3 linked regions of the Saccharomyces cerevisiae S288C genome follow. The gene in region 1 interacts genetically with each later gene. Each region holds a gene or a part of one and is shown in the gene's direction. Other genes may lie near its edges.

Region 1 (10,171 bases):
CCCAAAAATGGATAGGTTTTTCTTTATTATCAAATTTCCACGTTTACTGATAACGTTTTCATCTGCCAGGCCTTTTTGTTGTAATTTCAGGCCACTTATTTTACTTTCAGAAGATGGTAGTGGTGTATTTGAACCTAAAGGTGAGTTATCCACATCATCTCTGAGTAATGTTGACTTTATTTTTTTATTTTTACTTGTGTCTATGTTCGAAATAAATTTTGTAATTACTCTTTGAGTAAAATCTTTCAATGAGTTCCTTTTGCTTAGTCCTTTGAGCGAATCCAGCGCCAAAGATGTGTTTTGGTTATCAGCAGATCTCACAGAGACCAATGAGTCATTCATTTCGAGATTGTCATTGTTAGAAGTGGTGGGAGTGCTAATTTTATCATTTGTAGTATTACAATCATCATAAAAAGAGGCCTCTATTGTTTTTATTGATAGATCTGGTATTACGTTTGGTTTTTGAATATCCTTAATGGCTGGGAGAGCAACTTTTGGACCTCTCCATATGAATTTTGTGTTACCGTGTGTTGTTGTTGCTGTTGCCGGGATTTTCCTTGCCTTCACAACAACATCATTCTCGAAGACGGTATCAAACTTTGAATTTAATTTCTTAGATTGTTTCGTATTAGAGCCAGCGCATAAAATTTTCACCTCGAAGGCATTTTTGTCGTAATCATTCATAAACTCGGATAGTGATTTGACTTTCTTGTTCAGCTGTAAATATTCAACATCCACTTCCCGAATTAACTCATTTTCAGTAATCCCCATCATTTGTAAGTCATAAATTTTACATCTTGGAGTCCATTCTGAGTTACTCTTTTTGTCATGATCATTCCAAAAGAAAACACTTAACCAAAGCGGTACACAATGATGAAGCTTGTTCTCAAAGTCTCGGTACCTAAAAAGTGGAACTATGTGCAATGGAGCTTTTGAAAGACATATTAAATCCATCGTCATTTCAAGAGAGAGTAGTTTTTTTCCTGTTAGCCTTAATAAACTATAATCAACGTCAAATAATCCAGACCCTGGTGAAATAATCATGACGTGCGTTGTAGTGTGTCGAAGATCTAATTGCTTGAAAGGATCCGTTAAAATTGTCGTGGCAAAATTGACCAATTCGAGAAAATTCGACTTGATTACAGGTGAAAATCTTCCATTCGCTACACTGTAACCCTTATCCGTTTGCTTGTTTAATAAATCTTTTCTGATTTCCATAAATTCTTCTCTTAATGTTTCCATAATATCAACCCAATGGATAATACTGACTTGATCTACAACTATCCTAAAATAATCCTGTGAATTTTTCAAAGATTCGCCGGGTGTTAAGTCCTTGAATGATGTATCAGACAAGTCCATTGATATAGCGAAGGCTATAGTGATAGTATGGTGGGTGTCCACATCTTTCCATTTTTTGAAGATCTTCGGGAAAAATGAATTAACCATCTTTTGAAATAATTGTTCACCAGTTTCTTCGAAGTTCCACATTTCATCAGTTATTTGAATCAAAAAAATTAATCTGGCAGATTCGGACCGAAAAATTATCCTTGTTTGTTCGCCAATATATCCAGAAACAATCTTCTTACCATTTCGATAAATTCCCTTAATAGTACCTCTGATAGAGTCTAAGAATGCCAGTCTTTGATCCATAAACACACATGTATCTACCAGCTTAGATGATAGAACCCACATATCACCTCTATTTAGTAGGCAATCTTTGATATTAAACTCTACCACATCTGCCTGTAAGTCAAATTTGTTTGGTTTCAATTTTATCCATATCCTAGACCTAGAAGGCAAATCTAACAAAGTTTGCAGTTGACCCGAAAGTATTGAAACATTAGATGTTTTTGCCCTTCTTTTAGTCTCTCCGTCAAAATCTTTTGCAATAAAATAAATTTTCTTATCTCCGTTCGATGCAGATGGATTTTTGTGATATGTTTTCAATTCTACCAAATCACCAGGTTTTATATCCGGGAACTCAACTAGATTTAGCATCACTAAATTCTCGGAAAATCGGGACTCATGATAGCCTAATTCAGCTTGATACGCCTTTATTTTCAGTCCTGGAATATGATGGCGATGGACCCGTTCCCCATTGTCATAATTGTTGTCACCACCATTGTTGACGTTATCGTCATTTTCCTTATTTGAAATCAGCTTTCTGCCGGAAGCCCTTTGTTGAGAACCAAACTGCTCTTTCTTTTGTCTTAAATTTCTATTGGAACCTACTATCAAATTACCCGATGATAAGGATATGCTATTTGCGTGAGTAGTATTGCTAGTCCTTGGAGTTTGTGAATTGATGGAAGAAATTGGTCTTTGTTTCTTCCCATGCAATTTAGCGAACATCCTTAAAAAGTGTCCCTTGTCAGTGCTGAGTTATTTCCCTGCTTAAAAAGTAGTTACAGAAACAATTCGTTGTTCTGTCACTTACTATCTTTTAAACAATAATGATTAACATAGATAGTGATTCAAATAGTCACGTGATCTCTTTTAGAGAAAGGACTTAATCCGTACACAATGATTTAATTTTTCATTACCTTATAATGTGATAGTCATAATAGCAATGAAGGATTAGTAATTACCAATATAAGAGCTCTAGCACATTAGCTATGAATTTGTCAGCCGCACCAAACTAACATAAAGGTCTTACTATGTTAAAAGTTCTTGTCCTTGAATAGAAATAAATGAATGAATCTAGTACCCTTCCCCATTCACCTAAGTTGGCTAGCCATATTTTCGGAAAAAGAGTGGGAGGAACAAGATGCTAGATAAACAAATATTCATGTTATTAAGCTTAGAATTTTGGCTCTGTTTTGTTTATTTCCAGATTTCTATTTTCTGCTATTCATCCAAAATATATTTTCTCACAAAAGCTGTTAATTTGAAACTAATGTTAAACAAAACATCTCACTTCAAATTGAAGCCAAATTAGAACCTAAGTAACCAACACACGCACAACTTTCATCCCTTATCCCACTTCTTTGAAAACTTTTAGAAGCCATTGATGGTATTGTACATTTACCTATCTTAGCAGATTCCTTATTAGCCGCCGAAATGGGTAATAAGTATTATAATCACTAAATACGAAAAATTTATTCATACCAACCCGCAACATGAACTACAAACCTTTGGGTATATAATGACAAAGACGTATCAAACCAACACATAAGGCTATTTTCAGGCAACTAATATGCTGTTTTATCTGCGGAATTTCACCAACTGACTTTTACTAAGCACTCAATAAAGATGCAGGTAAAATACGTGGATTTATGAATCCGGGTAATATAATTTGTCCACGTGATATTTCACAGAATGAATTTCATCACGTGCGTATTATCTCTTAACTCATAATGCCACAATTACCACCACACAGAGGCAGGAATGGTTTAACTGCTAAGAGACACTGGAAAATTTGAGTCATGGAGATGCGACGAATTACTGGCCGCTGCAAGCAGTTATATAAAGTGTTGGAAGACGATAGTTTTTAATGTGAAATAAAATTGGGATATAGAAAGGTTCCTTTGCTTGTTATTTTTTTTCCATCGTCTTGATATTTATTCAGATCCCTTATATACTAATAAAGTAACAGTAGGGAACGGGAACCAGAGAAAAACAAAAGATTGGCGAATGACTGCTTCTGACCTCTTGACGCTCCCACAATTGTTGGCGCAATATTCCTCTAGTGCTCCCCAAAATAAAGTGTTCTACACTACTAGCACAAAAAATAGTCATTCATCCTTCAAAGGGCTAGAATCTGTTGCCACAGATGCTACTCATCTATTGAACAATCAAGATCCATTGAATACCATCAAAGATCAACTCTCTAAGGACATTTTAACTACCGTTTTTACAGATGAAACTACTTTGGTCAAATCCATCCACCATCTATATTCTCTTCCTAATAAACTTCCATTGGTGATTACAGTGGATTTGAATTTGCAAGATTATTCCGCAATTCCTGCGTTAAAGGATCTTTCTTTCCCCATCTTAATATCTTCTGATTTGCAAACTGCAATTTCAAACGCGGACTCTTCTTATAAGATTGCTACAAGTTCTCTGACCCCAGTTTTCCATTTTCTTAACTTGGAGAAAATTGGCACGAGTACAGCTATTGAACAAGACATCGACTTTCCTACCTTGGAGATTGCTAACGAAGAGACTAAAGTAGCATTATCAGAAGCTACTGATTCATTGACAAATTTTGAACTGGTTAAAGGTAAAGAGTCAATTACCACTGTCATTGTTAACCTGTCACCATATGACGCGGAATTCAGTAGCGTATTGCCTTCAAACGTAGGATTGATCAAGATTAGAGTATACAGACCATGGAATTTTTCCAAGTTCTTGGAAATACTGCCATCTTCTGTTACCAAAATCGCCGTTTTACAGGGTGTCTCTAAGAAATCGCAATCAAACGAATTTCAACCATTTCTTTTGGACTTCTTTGGCAATTTTAATGAATTAGTTTCTAGGAACATCGAGCAGGTAGTGTTGACTAATATTGGTAATGTGAATGATTATGGCAACGTTATCAACACCGTCATATCGAATATTAACAAGAAGGAACCAGATAATAACTTATTTTTAGGTGAATCCAATGAAAAGGCTGAGGAACAAGCTGAAGTTACTCAACTTATTTCTTCTGTCAAAAAAGTTGTGAACTTAGAAGACGCCTATATCAAAGTGCTAAAACAGTTATTTTCATCAAATCTACAAATTTTGAATCAATTTTCCAGTGAGACAATTGAACCAAGTAATCCAGAATTTGGTTTTGGACGCTTTTTAAAACAAGAAGCCCAGCGTGAAGAATTGATCAGCTTAGCAAAAACCTCTCTTGATCCAAGTCTTTACTTGTCCGAGGATGCAAATAAAATTGTTCAACTATTATCTAAATGGTTGTCATTCAATGGACGCGATCTTGACGAAGCTCAATTACAAGAGGCCAATGCGACAGGTTTGGAAATATTTCAGTTATTACAATCTAATCAAGATTCCTCTACTGTCTTAAAATTCTTAAAGATAGCTCCAACAAGCGATTCTTTTATTTTCAAATCAAGCTGGCTAATTGGCTCCGATGCCTGGTCTTATGATTTGGGTCACTCAGGTATTCAACAGGTTTTATCCTCCCGTAAAAACATTAATGTTTTATTGATTGATTCAGAGCCATATGACCATAGAAAGCAAAACCAGGATAGAAAGAAAGATGTTGGTTTGTACGCCATGAATTATTACAGTGCCTATGTTGCCTCTGTAGCAGTATATGCTTCTTACACCCAACTATTGACTGCAATAATAGAGGCATCTAAATACAATGGTCCTTCTATTGTCTTGGCTTATTTGCCGTATAATTCCGAAAATGATACTCCATTAGAAGTCTTAAAGGAAACCAAAAACGCCGTTGAATCTGGTTACTGGCCATTGTATAGGTTTAATCCTGTTTATGACGATCCATCAACAGATAAGGAGGCATTTAGCTTGGATTCTTCGGTTATCAGAAAACAATTACAGGACTTCTTAGACCGTGAGAATAAGCTTACCCTATTAACCAGAAAAGATCCATCTTTGTCAAGAAATCTAAAGCAATCTGCTGGTGATGCGTTGACAAGGAAACAAGAAAAAAGAAGCAAGGCTGCCTTCGATCAGTTATTGGAGGGTTTGTCCGGCCCACCGCTACACGTCTATTATGCTTCTGACGGTGGTAATGCTGCAAACTTGGCAAAGAGACTAGCAGCAAGGGCATCTGCAAGAGGTTTAAAGGCTACTGTTCTGTCCATGGATGACATTATTTTGGAAGAATTACCTGGTGAAGAGAATGTAGTTTTCATTACTTCCACGGCTGGGCAAGGTGAATTCCCCCAAGACGGTAAGTCTTTCTGGGAAGCTCTGAAAAATGACACCGACTTGGATTTAGCTAGTTTGAATGTTGCTGTTTTTGGTCTCGGTGATTCTGAGTATTGGCCACGTAAAGAAGATAAACATTATTTTAACAAGCCTTCACAGGATTTATTTAAGCGCTTGGAATTATTGAGTGCCAAAGCCCTAATTCCCTTGGGACTGGGTGATGATCAAGATGCTGATGGTTTCCAAACTGCTTATTCTGAGTGGGAACCTAAATTATGGGAAGCTCTTGGTGTTTCCGGCGCTGCTGTTGATGATGAGCCAAAACCTGTTACAAACGAGGATATTAAGAGAGAATCTAATTTCTTGAGAGGTACTATCAGTGAGAACTTAAAGGATACTTCTTCAGGTGGTGTTACTCACGCTAATGAACAATTAATGAAATTTCACGGTATTTACACCCAAGACGATCGTGACATTAGAGAAATACGTAAGTCACAAGGCTTAGAGCCATACTATATGTTTATGGCAAGAGCTCGTTTACCAGGTGGTAAGACCACTCCACAACAATGGCTTGCTCTGGATCACTTATCTGATACTTCAGGCAATGGTACCCTGAAATTAACAACAAGGGCAACCTTCCAGATTCATGGTGTGCTAAAGAAGAACTTGAAACACACATTGAGAGGAATGAATGCAGTTCTTATGGATACATTAGCTGCTGCAGGTGACGTGAACAGAAATGTCATGGTTTCTGCTCTACCAACCAATGCCAAGGTTCACCAACAAATCGCTGATATGGGAAAATTGATTTCTGATCATTTCTTACCAAAGACTACGGCCTACCACGAAGTTTGGCTGGAGGGCCCAGAAGAACAGGACGATGATCCATCCTGGCCATCTATTTTTGAAAACAGAAAAGATGGTCCAAGAAAAAAGAAGACTCTAGTTAGCGGTAACGCTTTGGTCGATATTGAACCAATTTACGGTCCAACTTATCTGCCAAGAAAGTTTAAATTCAACATCGCCGTTCCTCCATATAACGATGTGGATGTATTATCTATCGATGTCGGTTTAGTTGCTATAGTTAACCCAGAAACTCAAATCGTGGAGGGTTATAATGTTTTTGTTGGTGGTGGTATGGGTACCACTCATAACAACAAGAAAACTTACCCAAGATTAGGGTCATGCTTAGGTTTTGTTAAAACTGAAGACATTATTCCACCACTTGAAGGTATCGTTATTGTCCAAAGAGATCACGGTGACCGTAAAGACCGTAAGCATGCTCGTTTAAAGTATACTGTAGATGATATGGGTGTCGAAGGCTTCAAGCAAAAAGTGGAGGAATACTGGGGTAAGAAATTCGAGCCTGAGAGACCATTTGAGTTTAAATCTAATATTGATTACTTTGGATGGATTAAAGATGAAACTGGGTTAAACCACTTTACCGCATTTATTGAAAATGGTAGGGTTGAAGATACACCAGATTTGCCTCAAAAGACAGGTATTAGAAAGGTTGCTGAATACATGCTTAAGACTAATTCTGGTCATTTCAGATTGACTGGTAATCAACATTTGGTTATCTCTAATATTACAGATGAACATGTTGCTGGAATAAAATCTATTTTAAAGACCTATAAATTGGATAACACCGATTTCAGCGGTTTGAGATTATCTTCATCTTCCTGTGTTGGTTTGCCAACATGTGGTTTAGCGTTTGCCGAATCTGAACGTTTCCTACCTGACATTATTACTCAGTTGGAAGATTGTTTAGAAGAGTATGGTTTACGCCATGATTCCATTATTATGAGAATGACTGGTTGCCCTAACGGTTGTTCTCGTCCATGGCTAGGTGAATTAGCTCTTGTTGGTAAAGCTCCACATACTTATAACTTGATGCTTGGTGGTGGTTACCTCGGCCAAAGGCTAAACAAATTGTATAAGGCCAATGTGAAGGATGAGGAAATTGTCGACTACATCAAACCATTGTTTAAAAGGTATGCTTTAGAAAGAGAAGAAGGGGAACACTTTGGTGATTTCTGTATAAGAGTAGGTATCATTAAACCAACCACCGAGGGTAAATACTTCCATGAAGATGTGTCTGAAGATGCCTATTAATGATAGCATATGACATAGTAGGACATACTATTGGGTTTTCTTCCCACATTTATTTATTTTTTTCGCAATTGAATATAACTTTTTATTTTATAGAAACATATTTATTTGTATAATCTTGTATATTAACAGTTAAGACTCATTATTGTTATCCTTCGGCTAGTTCGGTTTTTCAATAGCAGATGAGAAACGAAAACTATGAAGAATGAAAACGAGGTGAAGAATAAAATCATATAACAAAATATTGAAAAGAATGACGGCCGTAACTGATATCATCGATGAATTGAATGATTCGAGTCTTTCTTCTACAAGGCTTCGAGAGTTGTGTCTCCAGTTACGAAAGAAGACAGATACTGGATGTGCAATTACGGTGTCCGATGAGGTCAACCTTATTGAATCTCTCTCATATCACTCCATATCTCCAGGAGTAGACATACAAATCAACACAGATGTTTTGCAGACTATAGATTACTACTTTCAGCGTAACAAAAGTGAACATGACGAAATTATGTGCGTCCTTATTTCTAAGTTACAGCCACTACTTTTAAAACGCAAAAGCAACTTCGAACTCAAAGAGCAACGTAATCTTGGTCTCAAACCCACGCTTGGAATGTCTTTGAAAGAAGATAACCTAATGCAGGCGTGGGTAAGTCAGGGTGGCTTGAAAGGCATTCCGTTATTCTACGTAATTCTGTTACATTTGAAAAGGAGAGACATATCTACGAATCTTTCTTGGATTATTCCAGGAATTCTAAACATACTAGATGATACCACTGATATAAGAAGAATTAAACTTCGTGGTGTTCTGCTCCTACAGACGCTATTAAATCATACCTTTATGAACGAAACCAATGACTCAAAATGGATACAGTTCTCTAGTACTGGTTTATTTCCACTGTTCGAAAAGACGCTAATCAATATGTGCTATTTTCTCCCTCCCTCATACAATGCTGATGAAACAATAGCCATATGGCGGGTCGTTTTCCCAACGATACAGTCGTTATATAAAGTAGAATTTTTGGACAATTACACAAAGTATCAATATCACCTGGAAAAGTTCATGTCAGAGATAATCTTGCAAAACATAATTCCTAGGGCTAGCCTTGCATACGAAAATTTGACGTTATACGCATTGGAATGCACAATGAACATACTGAGACTTCAAAGAGAAGGGTCTGTTGTACATCTCCAGAGGCTGATTTTTGTTTTAGGTGAATATATTGTACGAAATCCTTTTTACACAACTTTTCCAAAACTTATTTCAAAAACTCTTTCAGTGGTAAGTACTCTCATAAAGGTTTGCCCGAATGAAAGAATAGTGGCTCACAGATTCGACATTTTATCATTAATTCTAGTTACATACGATAAGTGTTCGCAAGAGGATGCGTTGAACGAATCAATACTACAACAATGTAAGGAAACGATAAGCTGGTTGCTGAATTGTGACTGCGCTATGGGTGAACAGTTATCGACTCTATCTAAGCAACCGCGGTTTCAGTTACTTTTTGAGTTCTCATAGGAAACAGACACAGACACAGACAAATGCATATACATATATATATATATATAACTAGACAGTATATAAACAAAAAGAGTTATTTGCCCTTTATGCTGAAGAATCCCTTTTAAAGAAACCTTGGACATATATTAAAATATTCATTTGCTTATTTACAGATATATTAAGGTAAAGAGAATAATGACTCGGAGAGATAAATCGGTTTCATATTAACGGGTGTTTTGCAACCCGTTCACAATCCTGATATTAGTATCCAAAAACCGATTCACACAGTTAGACAAACATTGCTCTTCTTGCGAACTTAAATTAGAATCATTGACAGACTCAACACATTTTTTGAAGCATATATTAGTGAATTGATGGATTGACATCTGGACTTTTTGTTTGGAGTTCTCTCCCTCCAAGAAAGTAGCAATTTCCTTTTTGGAAGTGTCATCAAGGGAGGCCAAATCAGACGTTGATAGAGAAGACATTCTTTGTTGTTTGTAAATTTGTTTTCCTTTTTACCTCTTCTTCAATACTTTCATATAAATGAATGTTTCCATCAATTTTTACGTTAGTTAATAACTAACCGTTCGCTTTGATATGCAGCGTAACAACAAACAAGACGCATATGACGACAAAGAGGGACAAGAGCAAACGGCAGAAAGTCTCACAAAGGAAACATGGATGTTGAAAAGGATGTCCTGGATGTCT
Region 2 (6,311 bases), on another chromosome or scaffold:
ATGCACTAAAAGTTTGCATTTCTTTACATAACTAAAACTAAGACATTATGCATAGCTTACCTGATCAAAAAGTATGTAAACTTGTTAACATCTTCACATGTGATTCATCTGGTCGTACTTTCTTGCGGTGCAGTGTAATATTTCTACCCACGTGACTATAATTGAGCTTGAAAACTGTGGCGTTTTTCCACCGATGGGTCCACGCCAGATATTAACCGAAGCCAAAATACCGATGAAATTTCTGAGATAGCTCTTGTAAACGACGTCAAATCTTCATATGCAAGGAGATCTTGATTTCTTTTTGGTAGTCATCTGTCGTCTTGAGGCGTATAAGAAGGAGGTTATATCTGTCCTTTCTACAAAGTATTTTCGAGAATCTTGCTTCTGCCCCTTTTTTCTTTTTTTAAAAGGTTTAAAAAACATAACTGTCTTCAATATATCCAGTATTTACGACAATATACAAACATAATCATGTCCAAGAGCAAAACTTTCTTATTTACCTCTGAATCCGTCGGTGAAGGTCACCCAGACAAGATTTGTGACCAAGTTTCTGATGCTATTTTGGACGCTTGTTTAGAACAAGATCCATTCTCCAAGGTTGCCTGTGAAACAGCTGCCAAAACTGGTATGATTATGGTTTTCGGTGAAATTACCACCAAAGCTAGACTTGACTACCAACAAATAGTAAGAGATACCATCAAGAAGATTGGTTATGACGATTCTGCCAAGGGTTTCGACTACAAGACATGTAATGTTTTAGTAGCTATCGAACAACAATCTCCAGATATCGCTCAAGGTCTGCACTATGAAAAGAGCTTAGAAGACTTAGGTGCTGGTGACCAAGGTATAATGTTTGGTTACGCTACAGACGAAACTCCAGAAGGGTTACCATTGACCATTCTTTTGGCTCACAAATTGAACATGGCTATGGCAGATGCTAGAAGAGATGGTTCTCTCCCATGGTTGAGACCAGACACAAAGACTCAAGTCACTGTCGAATACGAAGACGACAATGGTAGATGGGTTCCAAAGAGGATAGATACCGTTGTTATTTCTGCTCAACATGCTGATGAAATTTCCACCGCTGACTTGAGAACTCAACTTCAAAAAGATATTGTTGAAAAGGTCATACCAAAGGATATGTTAGACGAAAATACCAAATATTTCATCCAACCATCCGGTAGATTCGTCATCGGTGGTCCTCAAGGTGACGCTGGTTTGACCGGTAGAAAGATTATTGTCGACGCTTACGGTGGTGCCTCATCCGTCGGTGGTGGTGCCTTCTCCGGTAAGGACTATTCCAAGGTCGATCGTTCCGCTGCTTACGCTGCTAGATGGGTTGCCAAGTCTCTAGTTGCCGCTGGTTTGTGTAAGAGAGTCCAAGTCCAATTTTCATATGCTATTGGTATTGCTGAACCATTGTCTTTACATGTGGACACCTATGGTACAGCTACAAAATCAGATGACGAAATCATTGAAATTATTAAGAAGAACTTCGACTTGAGACCAGGTGTGTTAGTAAAGGAATTAGATTTGGCTAGACCAATTTACTTACCAACCGCTTCTTATGGTCACTTCACTAATCAAGAGTACTCATGGGAAAAACCAAAGAAATTGGAATTTTAAACATTTAGACAATAAATGTTTTATTTTGATTTTTATAATTATTTCAATCCCTTTCTTTATGCTAGGCTGGTCCCGATCACCTCCCTATATTGAGAAGACGATGCCTTATCGTTTGATTCGCTCAACTCGAGTCATGTAATTACTAGAAAATGATACAATAGAAAAGTTTTAAACATTCTTAAACTTGACAAACACCAATAGAATAACATCTAGGCATAATGATCTATTTTGTATGGATTATGTATTAGCTCCTTCAACGGAAATATATAGAAAATATTACTTTATGTTTTTAGAACTTTTTGACGAGTTTTACCAGTTTTTTTCATGATGCTCCACGTGGTAATATGACTATGCTATGGAAATAAGGTTGAAATATAGAATGTCTTTGAGGTTATTTGGTCGGCCTCTTCCAGAAATACTGTTTATGTTTCTTCCTGCACGACCTTAATCGGCTCCTGCCTTTTAACGAATTATACAAAATCTTTCTCTCGTCGCTATCATCGTTTTCAACATCATAGTAATACTCGTCTTCTAATGGCTTGCCAGACGCATCTTTTCCTTCACGCACAATAATACCAATGCAAGAAATAGTCTCCAAGACCTTTTTTAGTTCATCTTTGCTTAATTGTGAAGTGTTGGAATTGATGTTTTGCAATTGGGATAAAGGCGTTTGTTGAAGGTTAGAAAATGCAAGATGATTACATAGCACATGAACTAGGTCATCAAACCGAATTCCTCTTTCTGAGAGCGACCGAGAAATTTCGGGAATAATATTCAATGAAGTCTTAAGACGTTTTTGTGCAGGAGATACAATCGCGGTTGTAGAAGACAGCTCTTTAGTTTTTTTTGCAACTGCTGCGAAAGATTCTTCTTCATTAATGCCACCACTCCTAGTACTGGCACTTAATGTCCCAATTATTTTATCTTTAGGAAGTGGTGTCTCTTGTATAGTGTTATTTTTCAATGAAATTGATTTACGCTTCAGTTTCTTTGGAGTTGATGGCTGATTAATAACGAAAGATGTTTGGGGTGTTGTTCTATAACTAATGGGGGAGTTTTTCACAAGAGCAGGAGATGCAATAAGTAATGGTTTTGAGATCTGTTCTGTACGAGGTGAATGCTCAACTGGGACAAATTTCATCGAAGGTGTTTCTTTTTGCCAAGAAAAATCATCGCTCGTTGTTGTTAATAAACACAACTCATCCTCCGTTTCTGTCGAGTTCTCTTCGTCAAAGTTATTGTTGCCATCGCCAGGATAAGGTGCTACTTTTTTCAATGAAAGACAGACTGTGACGCCTGTAAAATTTATGAAACTTCCTTGGATATAGGGGAAAGTAACAGTTTCACCTTTAGCCAAAACAAAGCTGATGAAGTTTTGGTTCTTTTGAAGAGTTTTTCCATGCGATTGTTTAGTATTTTGCGAGGTCAAAGGCTCTTCTGCCACTAGTTTATAAAAGTTCCTTGTTGGGAAGGGTTTTACCAAATGCAACTGCATGGAGTAAGGCAAGTGAACGGACAACCCATTAGTTCCATTACATTCCAATTTTATTTCATTTCTGTCGGCGGCGTATGAAATAAAAGCGTGCTGCCTAGAGATATTCTTTCTGCATGGCAAAATAATGTTGCAGACTGATTTTTTCCTACCGATGGCTAAACGTGAGGGATCCGATGCATCTAATTCAATCTCGATAGGGCCTGCAAGCACCTTTTCTTGCTTTGAAGGAGATGACAAGGCAGATTTGGTCTCATTTAAACGTGAAGTGATATCTTTCACTGGTGAAGATTGTCTTCCGATGCTAGACGACGGGTCTGGAGTAGGATACTCTTCCAATTCGTAATTATACCGTTTTCTTCCTAAGGTCAATACAGAAGTATTAGCAAGCTTACCAGGTTCTTTTTGTGGGCTTTCCAAAGGTTTACCAGCAACTGGTGATGATGGTGGGAAGAGATGGGACATAACCAAAATTGTGACGATTTTGTCGTGAAACTTCTAGCGAAAAGACTAATGAAATCGGCAAATATTGTGTAAATAGTATACCAAAAAAAAAAACGCTTCTATATATTGTTCCCCGTTGCTAGTAACGATAGAAACGGCAAATAAGGAGAGAAATTAAACTTTCTTGGGAGAGGCAGAAGTGTTTACTTATTCTTCTGAAACAAAAACAAACGCGAAAAAAAAATTATCGCGTTTGGATTATCATTATTTAGACATTAACACCTGTACATATTTGTATTTTAAAAGCCGAACATTTTTGGGTTCTATATCAGTTTTTTTTTTCTTCAAGCACTCCGTACACCACTAATATTATCACTGAGAATCTTCCTGCCACTTGCGGGAAGGATGAGATTGGAAACATGGCTGGAATAGTAAGCATAGGTTACTATAGAAAGCGGTAACAAAAAGCACTACTATGTGTAGATAAAGAACAAAGAGGTAAACGAATATATAAGTAAAGATGGGTAGTATGTACAGGAATTATTAATTGATGAGTCAACGTTCAATCACATCCGGTCTGATTTAGAGGATTACATGAGAAAGAAGCACTGAAAAAATTTTCCACCAGGAGAGGCCAGGTAAACTAAGACCTACGTTATTCACTATGCCAAAAGATTTAAAAATATAGAATGATGAATGTTGCCAGAGCCATTGATGATAAGAAATTGCACATAACGGATGCATAAAGAGCGAATAAAAAGATTTGAGTGTCAATACAAAAAGGTGAGAAGAAATAGTGTAAGACAGCAACACACATCTAGACCGCCAATGAAGTTGTTCTGAATCCAGCAGTAGAGTTTATTTAGTTCAAAGTTTTACTAACGATAATTAACTTTTATGTTTTCATTTTAAACAGAGGGTACTCCTTCATTCGGTAAGCGTCACAACAAATCTCACACCTTGTGTAACAGATGTGGTCGTCGTTCTTTCCATGTTCAAAAGAAGACCTGTTCCTCTTGTGGTTACCCATCCGCTAAGACTAGATCTCACAACTGGGCTGCCAAGGCAAAGAGAAGACACACTACTGGTACCGGTAGAATGAGATATTTGAAGCATGTCTCCAGAAGATTTAAGAACGGTTTCCAAACCGGTTCTGCTAAGGCTACTTCTGCTTAAATTTGATATTATCTATAAGTTTTGTTCTTTCCTAAAACGAAAATAATATAAATTATATATAGTTAATATTAAGCATTACAAGGTTTCTATAAAGCGTTGACATTTTCCCCTTTTGATTGTTGCCTTACAGTCCCATTGAGATATATAATGAATCGGCCTCCTCTAGTGTGGTTAGATCGAATGATTTTGACTCAAGAATAGTTCTTGCCATTTCTTGAAATTTCTCATCGTACTTTACTTGCATTATTCTCCCCGTTCTTTTATTCAATTGCATCTTCAATTCTTCTTCGATATATTCTGGTAAATCCTCAAAGGCATCTTCGTAATAAGAGGCTTGATCCTTTATCGTCAGATCATGCAAACTATCTACAAGGTGTCGATGATCTCTCATTTCTCTTTCGTTTGCTGTCACAGTTTCGGTTTGGCATACGAGAAACCTCCATAGTGACATAATCAATTGGCTTTCTACCTGCTTGATTTGTTCTTCACGCAATTGTTTGAAATGGTCTTTCCATAGCCTATATATTATGGTTAAAGTATGTTCAATAAGATGGCATCTGAGGTCCAAGTTCGGGGAGTCTTGTCCCACGTACCTTTCTATCATTAACGCTTGCTCCCTGGATAAGAATTTAGAGGAGTGGATGAGCATTTCTCCATTTACTATGGTCGCATCGTCTCCATAGATCATTAATAAATTTTCAAAAATATTTAAAACTTCATCTTTTAACTTCAAAAGCCATTTTTCCATCTTGTAACCTATTATAGGGGCAGTGAATTTGTCGCTATCCATCCCAATATCCTCTTTAGAAATTACCCTTGGGACACTTTGCAATCGGTCAGTATAAATCAGCTTTGATATCAATCCTCCCAATTCATTATCACCTATATTTCGGATTAACCCAAAAAAGTCATGGTACTTCGACATATGAAGAGTTGTAGTATCCACATTTTCATTATATACGTCGCCACTCTTAATTTCCTTTTCCAAAAGAGCGTATAATCTTGTAATACAATCTCTCCACCAACTACCGCTTATCAAGGATTTCAGATCTGAGGAATTGTCCATATTTAATATTATACTAGTGATAATATTAACGACCTCGACTGCACTAAATATTACATTTACCATTGGCTTGTATGAAATGGTTAGTGCTAGTTTGTAGACAAATTCAAATGATTTTAGAATATTTTCATCAAAAAATTCCATATAAGTTTGCTTAGGATGCGACTGCAGTACCCTTAATATACCTTCTAGGAGATCAAAGGAATACGAAATTATCAAATAGTCTATCAGTTCATATTGGAAAATCTGAGGTTCTACATGCAAATTCATATTTGATTCATGTATCGGTACTTTCAATACATGATGATAGATTCTTATTAAATCGCAAATAAAAAGAAAACAATCCTTCAGTGCTAAATTATGAGTGGCACTAGGACGAAATTGTACAATCTGATACATCAATGCAACGAGAAATGGGACAGCTAATTTCGATTCATTTGGATGAACTGATATTTCCTTGATCAAAACAGCTATATCCTCTAGCAAAGTATCTATGAACCTGTCGAGGGT
Region 3 (6,651 bases), on another chromosome or scaffold:
TTTTTCTTTCTAATAGATGAATCATCCGTACACACACAGAGACCACCGTTTACTTTCATATCAGAATAGAAGTTGTGAAAGCTACCTACGAGACTTAAATAAACATCTTTTTCGATGGTGAGCTTTTCATGGTAATTCGTCGAGACAGTAACTGTTTTGCTCTTTTCTATGATGTCTAAAGCCAAAACAATGTCCATCAAGACTAGCGTAATAAAAATCAACCTGCTCATTGACAATTGGATTATTTTTGGCTGTTCAAGATTAAAACAGACTCAGTAGGCAAAAACTTCAATCAATAGTACCGGGAAGATGACATTCCGGTCTAAGTGGTATTATACACTTATAGTAAAGTCACGTCAACCTTTGTTACTTTTCTTAATTGATTATATACGCACTCTTCTCAATATTTGATTTCTTCATCGAAAAGATCTACACGAAGTTTTTATCATGTGTTAGCGTGATGGAAAAGATCTGTGCACGTTTAATTAGAATTGCAAAAGCTTCAATGGGTTTGATTGAGATTTTTATTTTCAATTCACTCATCTTGATGTTCACCACCAAGCCTACATCGAAACTTTGAAATACAGGAAAGTTGCAGGAGGCTTTATTGGTTGAATTGAAAAAGAAAGGAAGAAAAACGTAATGGTAAAATAAAACTCGACTATGGCGCAACCGATAGAGAGTTTAGTGGCATTAGAAATTTTAAAAGAAGCTTTAAACTACAAAGTGTTCTTCTGAATCTGAATAAGGTCACTTACATAGAAACCTACTTACCTCAAAAGCGTAATTCCGAAAGGCAAAAGAAAAACTTTTGTAGAATCTTCAGCTGCTAGAAGTTCAAATAGAAGACAAATTACGGACTTGTTGCAGTATATGCCAAGCTACAGAAGAAATTATATTTCTTAATACGTACAGAAGGTATGAAACGTTAGTTTACTCACAGAAGATACCCTGGCTTTTCTTTTATTAATACATGGAGTTGCAAAAAACAAGGGAAAGGAAAATCAATCAAATTAGAATTAAGGTTTTTTTTGGACAGTGCAGCGTCAATGCGCACGTAATGGCTTCGAAGAAAAAAAGAAGGCAAATACAATGAAGCTGAGATCTTGTTTTATCATGAGGGGAAATAAATTGGAAGCATTGAAGTTGTTGGAATGAAACTCTAAAATATCATCTGTTTAGTAGTATCGTGTTACTAGTACATTATCACATACAGTGTAAGAAAATGACATTAGGTATGAGAAACAGTCATCAAATCTAATGGAAGCGAAATTCAAGGGTTGGTGATGTAATAGGATAATGAAACATATAAAACGGAAGTAAAAATAATCGTAATATTACAAGGAGACCAAACAAACAGTCGAGAGAAGCGTATGCACAATCATGCAAGAAAAATTTTCTGGAAGAATTTATTTAATCTTAAATTACAAATCTTAGTAGTAATGGTCACTTCTGATAGTTTCGAAAAAGGAAAGAGGAGATGACTATTGAGTCAAATTTTTTTGACGGAAACTTAGCGACCGAAAAATATATATGATAATAAGAAAACGAATGGCATACAATGATTAGTTTCAAATATTTCACGCGCAAAGAAAGAATTCTACTACCGGAGTGTGCCCTTCTTGTACTTTATTATCAGACTGTGTCTCTCTAATTGCGTGTTGTCCGCGGAATAATGCTCTAATTTAAAAAATCGACATATTCTGACTTGTATGGCGCTTTGCATTGGTGTTTATATGTTAATAACCCCTAATCATACTCTATATGAATACTTTCAAATTTACCAACACAATAAAATCTTCATATTCTCATGCATGTTTTGCCCTGTATCACTAAATAATACATACTTTACCGAAGCTGGTTGTATTTCGTGTATATCATAGCCAATGATGCCGTTATAATGTCCGAAATATTATCGCTTAATGAAGGGAAGCAGCTAACAAATATGACAAATACAGCAATTTCTTACACCGGTAACTAATGATTATACAAACAAGACTTGATTTTTTTTATGGCCTGTAAGAATATATCATAACGTGAGTTCTAGATATTTAAAGTTCTTTATGCATATTCTAGTCTACGTATATAGGAGTTCCAAAAAAAAAAAAAATTAAATGCACGTTATTCTTGACGCTAGTGTAAGTTTTTATGTACTTTACCTGCTAGCTTCGTATTTCTGTCTTGGGATATTCTTGTCCCTATTATGAGAATGTACAATATGCAAAATAAAGGTAAAAGATTTGAAAAAGAGAAAATACCCAAATATCAACAAAACTACCTCTATAGGACCTGTCTCATGGTCTTGACAACTTTATGCGAAATAAGAACACGATCGTTATATCACTTAACGCTTGAGATATATACAGAATGTAGTACATGTCGGCCCTTCTACGGATTTATTACCATGTGTATACTAGAATTGATACCGGCAACCCATAGTGACTTTTAACAGGGCAATTGGATTTGCATAAAAGTATATACAGTAATAATAATATTTCCTGATGAGAAAGGTGGAAAGTATCGAGTTATGTGTACCTTCAATACCAATCTCTACCTCTCGTTAATAGTGCCACAATGCTATGGATTCTAAGCAATTTAAACCGCATAGCTATTAGTGTAGACTTCCCACTGTATTTGAATGACACGTTGCCTTCATTCCTTGTTGCGCTGAACTTTCACGTCAGATATATATACATAAGTGCAATAGAGGCCTAGGCTAATCTGCAAATTTCTCATAGATGTACACCGCCTGTGCCGTACGGCATCGCTATCTTCTGAAAGGAAACTGTAGTAAATTTACCAAAATATCTCCGAATAAAAAGAAGAGGAACATCTTTTAATGAATTATAGAGTACAAAAGAATCATTTAAAAGAGAGGGCGAGTGAAAACATGAAAAGAAACGTTACTAACTTAATTGACCTTAAAGTAGCCTCACCAGTTAAGTGCATTATTGATCATTCCATGAATAACCATTTTTAAAGACTAAGATGCTGAGTTGTGTTATATAGAGAGAAAAAAACGTACTTTCAGTTTCCATATGAGGTGGAGCGCAGGTCATAGGTATGCCGGCTCATTGTTTTCTATTTTAAAAAGTAAAAAATATGCTGCTAAAGGAACACGTGAGAAATTACATTCTCCCTAGGTCTGCGATAACGCGGTAATATTACACTGCCGCCGCCTTCCATGCCTTTGGAAAGCAGACAATGATGCTAGGCGGCGCCCAGCAGTATAAACTTTTCTTGCTTATAACCAGAACCTCTATCACAAAATTAGAAACTGCGATACTATGGGTCAGATCGACACATAGGGAGCACTATTAGGCGCAAGGCGTATACATAGGCATTGCGTGTTCAAAAATTGTCGTATGAGAAAAGTTCCAAACTTTCCACCATTACTCACCAACAACTTACACCAGCCCGGATTTAAGATTTAGCTTCCGAGAATATTGTGACTCAGCCACTGGTCTCTTGAATGTTGCGTGTAGCTTGATTAAGATTATGGCATAACCGTTTTTTTTACTTGGCAAGAGTGAACGTCCTTTTACTCCAAAAGGCTCCTGATGAAACTGGAGAGTCTCTTTGTTCTGAAATTTTTAAAGTTTAGCACACCATATTCACGCTCGAGGTGAACCCAAGTTTTCCTGAAAAATGTGCCATGAACCTGAAAAAAAGAATTATTCTCGAAAATAAAAAAGGCAATCAAGATCGGAAAGATAAGCATTTTTTTTCAATCCGTATCTAACATTCATAAAGTGATAAAAAAATTGATAACGATTTTATTGTCGCCTCTTGTTTTGAGTATATTTTTTTAACGTTCTTTTTCGGCATTCAAATTCCGTATAATCAACTCAATTGTAAGGCGCCGTAGCATCCAAATAATGTTGAAAGTGCCAATTTGCTCATCAGTGCTAAATATTCCTTGATAAAAATATAGAAGACAAGGACATATAAAAAGAAAGACTGCTCTAGTGTTGGGACACCACAATGAAAAAATACTTAACGTGTTTCGAAACTGTGAATATAAAATTCCAGCAAAAACCAAAATATTCACTACAATGATTGATCGTACCGAGTTATCGAAGTTTGGTATTACTACGCAACTGTCTGTTATTGGACGTAATCCAGATGAACAAAGTGGCTTTGTTAATCCACCTTTGTATAAGGGGTCAACCATCATTCTTAAAAAACTTAGTGATTTAGAACAAAGGAAAGGAAGATTTTACGGGACAGCAGGTTCTCCAACTATTGACAATTTAGAAAATGCCTGGACGCATTTAACCGGCGGTGCTGGGACAGTGCTATCAGCTTCTGGGCTTGGTTCTATCTCTTTGGCGCTATTGGCCCTTTCGAAAGCTGGTGATCATATCTTGATGACTGATAGTGTCTACGTGCCAACACGTATGCTATGTGATGGTTTATTGGCCAAGTTCGGTGTTGAAACGGATTATTATGACCCATCAATAGGGAAGGATATAGAAAAACTAGTTAAGCCAAATACAACCGTCATTTTCCTCGAAAGCCCGGGTTCTGGGACCATGGAAGTACAGGATATTCCAGCTTTGGTCTCTGTTGCCAAAAAGCATGGGATAAAGACAATTCTAGACAACACATGGGCAACGCCACTCTTTTTTGATGCTCATGCGCATGGTATCGATATTTCGGTAGAAGCTGGGACAAAATATTTGGGTGGTCATTCAGATCTTCTTATTGGTCTGGCCTCCGCAAATGAAGAATGTTGGCCGCTATTACGGTCAACTTATGATGCAATGGCAATGTTACCAGGTGCCGAGGACTGTCAATTAGCATTGCGAGGAATGCGTACATTGCACTTAAGATTGAAAGAGGTAGAAAGAAAAGCCCTGGATTTGGCTGCTTGGCTCGGAAATCGAGATGAGGTTGAAAAAGTGCTTCACCCCGCCTTTGAAGATTGTCCCGGACATGAATACTGGGTTCGTGACTACAAAGGTTCTTCAGGCTTATTTTCCATTGTCCTTAAAAATGGGTTCACAAGAGCTGGTCTGGAGAAAATGGTAGAAGGGATGAAAGTTTTGCAATTGGGATTTTCATGGGGTGGCTAGAAAAGCTTCAACATGGCCTTACAAAGGTTTTGCACTAAGAATACAAGTGGGTCTCGAAGAATTTGAAGATTTAAAAAGGGATTTTGAGTTAGGCTTTGAACGTCTCGCAGAAGAAATTTCTTTGAATCCTTTACAAATCTGATTTTTTTTCCTTTTTTTTTTGGATTTCCAAGCAATGTTGTTTGAGAAATGAATGAAATTTTTGACTATAGCTTGTCTTAGGCAGGCTGGAGTAGACAACCATCTAGTAGCCAATGTTTGCCCAGTTAATATATGGTTCAATTTTCTAGCTGTATCATATTATGGATGATGAAGCAGATAATCTTTCTTTTTTCTGTATGTCTGATTGTAATAAAGAGGCTTACCATATTGTGAATGCATTTCAATGACACTGCATAATGAAGTCATTGTATTTAGAAAAGTAATAATTTTGTATTGTATAAAGATAGAAAAAACGTATATCGTACTTATTCAGCGGAAATGATTCTGCTTTATCTACTTGCGTTCCTGAATATAATATTTGTGAACCAGGCTTGAGCTTGACACTACAGATTTTTTAGTTCGATTTCATTCAGTAGAGAAAGGCATATCAATATGACATGTGATCTCACTCCGCGGCTAAATGCTAGCAATAAAAAGAATACCGTAATAGAGATGCAGCAAAATAACCACTGGTGTTTAAGAAATAATATGATTACGTCAGTAACCGAAGAGCCCGTACGCACTCTGCTACCATAGACTATGTATATTGTTACCTATTGTAAATAGCTATGGTTACTCTAAGTACGTATGGTGCTATGCATCTCGGTGAACGGATGCAATTATGAAAGTGTAGGTCAGAACATCATCGGTGGTTTTGTCGTGTAAAAAAGGTTATAAGGAAAATTATACTCACATGATTTTATTCATCATCGTCTGTGTATCGCTTCAATTAACATTTTGAAAAAGAGATTACTTTATATGACGTTATGTATATCTTTCAACTTAAATAACCTTAGCTGGCAAAATAAAGAATAAGATAAGGGCCAAGAAGAACGCTAATACTCGTTTTTTTTCAACTACAAAACAACTAGTTGGATAATTTTGAAACAACAAAGTAGAAGTTGTACATATATTTTTGCGCATATGGCTCTGAAATATCGTATTTTTCAAAAGCCCGATACAAAGCCGTCAGCAATACCCATAGTTAAAGATTCCTTGATAACCTATAGCTTCCGTAGACAACAACACAAATTTACCACCTACTTTTAACTCACCCATGTTTTTCAGTTTATCAATGAATCTAATAAACGTGGCTTACGTAACAGCTCCGCATGGACTTGAATTTACTCCTAGCGAGCCTAGTGTTTTAATTGCTTGCATACAATCTTCATCGGAAACTAAACAGGAAATAGATGGCCCCTTTCTGTAGTAGAAGAAATGCTGTTGCTGAAATCCTCGGACAGTTCAACTCATCCATGATTGTTCTAGAGGTTCCTAGATCAGATGAAGCCTTTTGTAACACCAATGACTTATTGACAGTGTAAGCGGTATCTGGTTCAACCGAGAAGACTTTCGTATTCGATTTATGCGA

Evidence for each region. A genetic interaction does not mean that the proteins touch.
Region 2: mutations in MET5 (region 1) and RPL37B together harm fitness more than expected from each alone (negative genetic interaction), as found in Saccharomyces cerevisiae (2 studies listed by BioGRID).
Region 3: mutations in MET5 (region 1) and IRC7 together harm fitness more than expected from each alone (negative genetic interaction), as found in Saccharomyces cerevisiae (one large-scale study listed by BioGRID).

What each region holds. Positions count from the first base shown.
Region 1 is NC_001142.9:676,748-686,918, reverse strand, and holds MET5 (sulfite reductase (NADPH) subunit beta), read left to right. Parts: upstream 1-3,633; coding exon 3,634-7,962; downstream 7,963-10,171. Other genes in the region: GTPase-activating protein IML1, read right to left, coding at 1-2,352; TTI2 (Tti2p), read left to right, coding at 8,213-9,478; protein transporter TIM8, read right to left, coding at 9,685-9,948; MCM22 (Mcm22p), read left to right, coding at 10,141-10,171. UniProt on the Saccharomyces cerevisiae protein: Catalyzes the reduction of sulfite to sulfide, one of several activities required for the biosynthesis of L-cysteine from sulfate.
Region 2 is NC_001136.10:1,448,625-1,454,935, reverse strand, and holds RPL37B (60S ribosomal protein eL37 RPL37B), read left to right. Parts: upstream 1-4,082; coding exon 4,083-4,089; intron 4,090-4,478; coding exon 4,479-4,738; downstream 4,739-6,311. Other genes in the region: methionine adenosyltransferase SAM2, read left to right, coding at 472-1,626; PLM2 (Plm2p), read right to left, coding at 2,018-3,583; LCD1 (Lcd1p), read right to left, coding at 4,863-6,311.
Region 3 is NC_001138.5:260,149-266,799, forward strand, and holds IRC7 (cysteine-S-conjugate beta-lyase IRC7), read left to right. Parts: upstream 1-4,055; coding exon 4,056-5,078; downstream 5,079-6,651.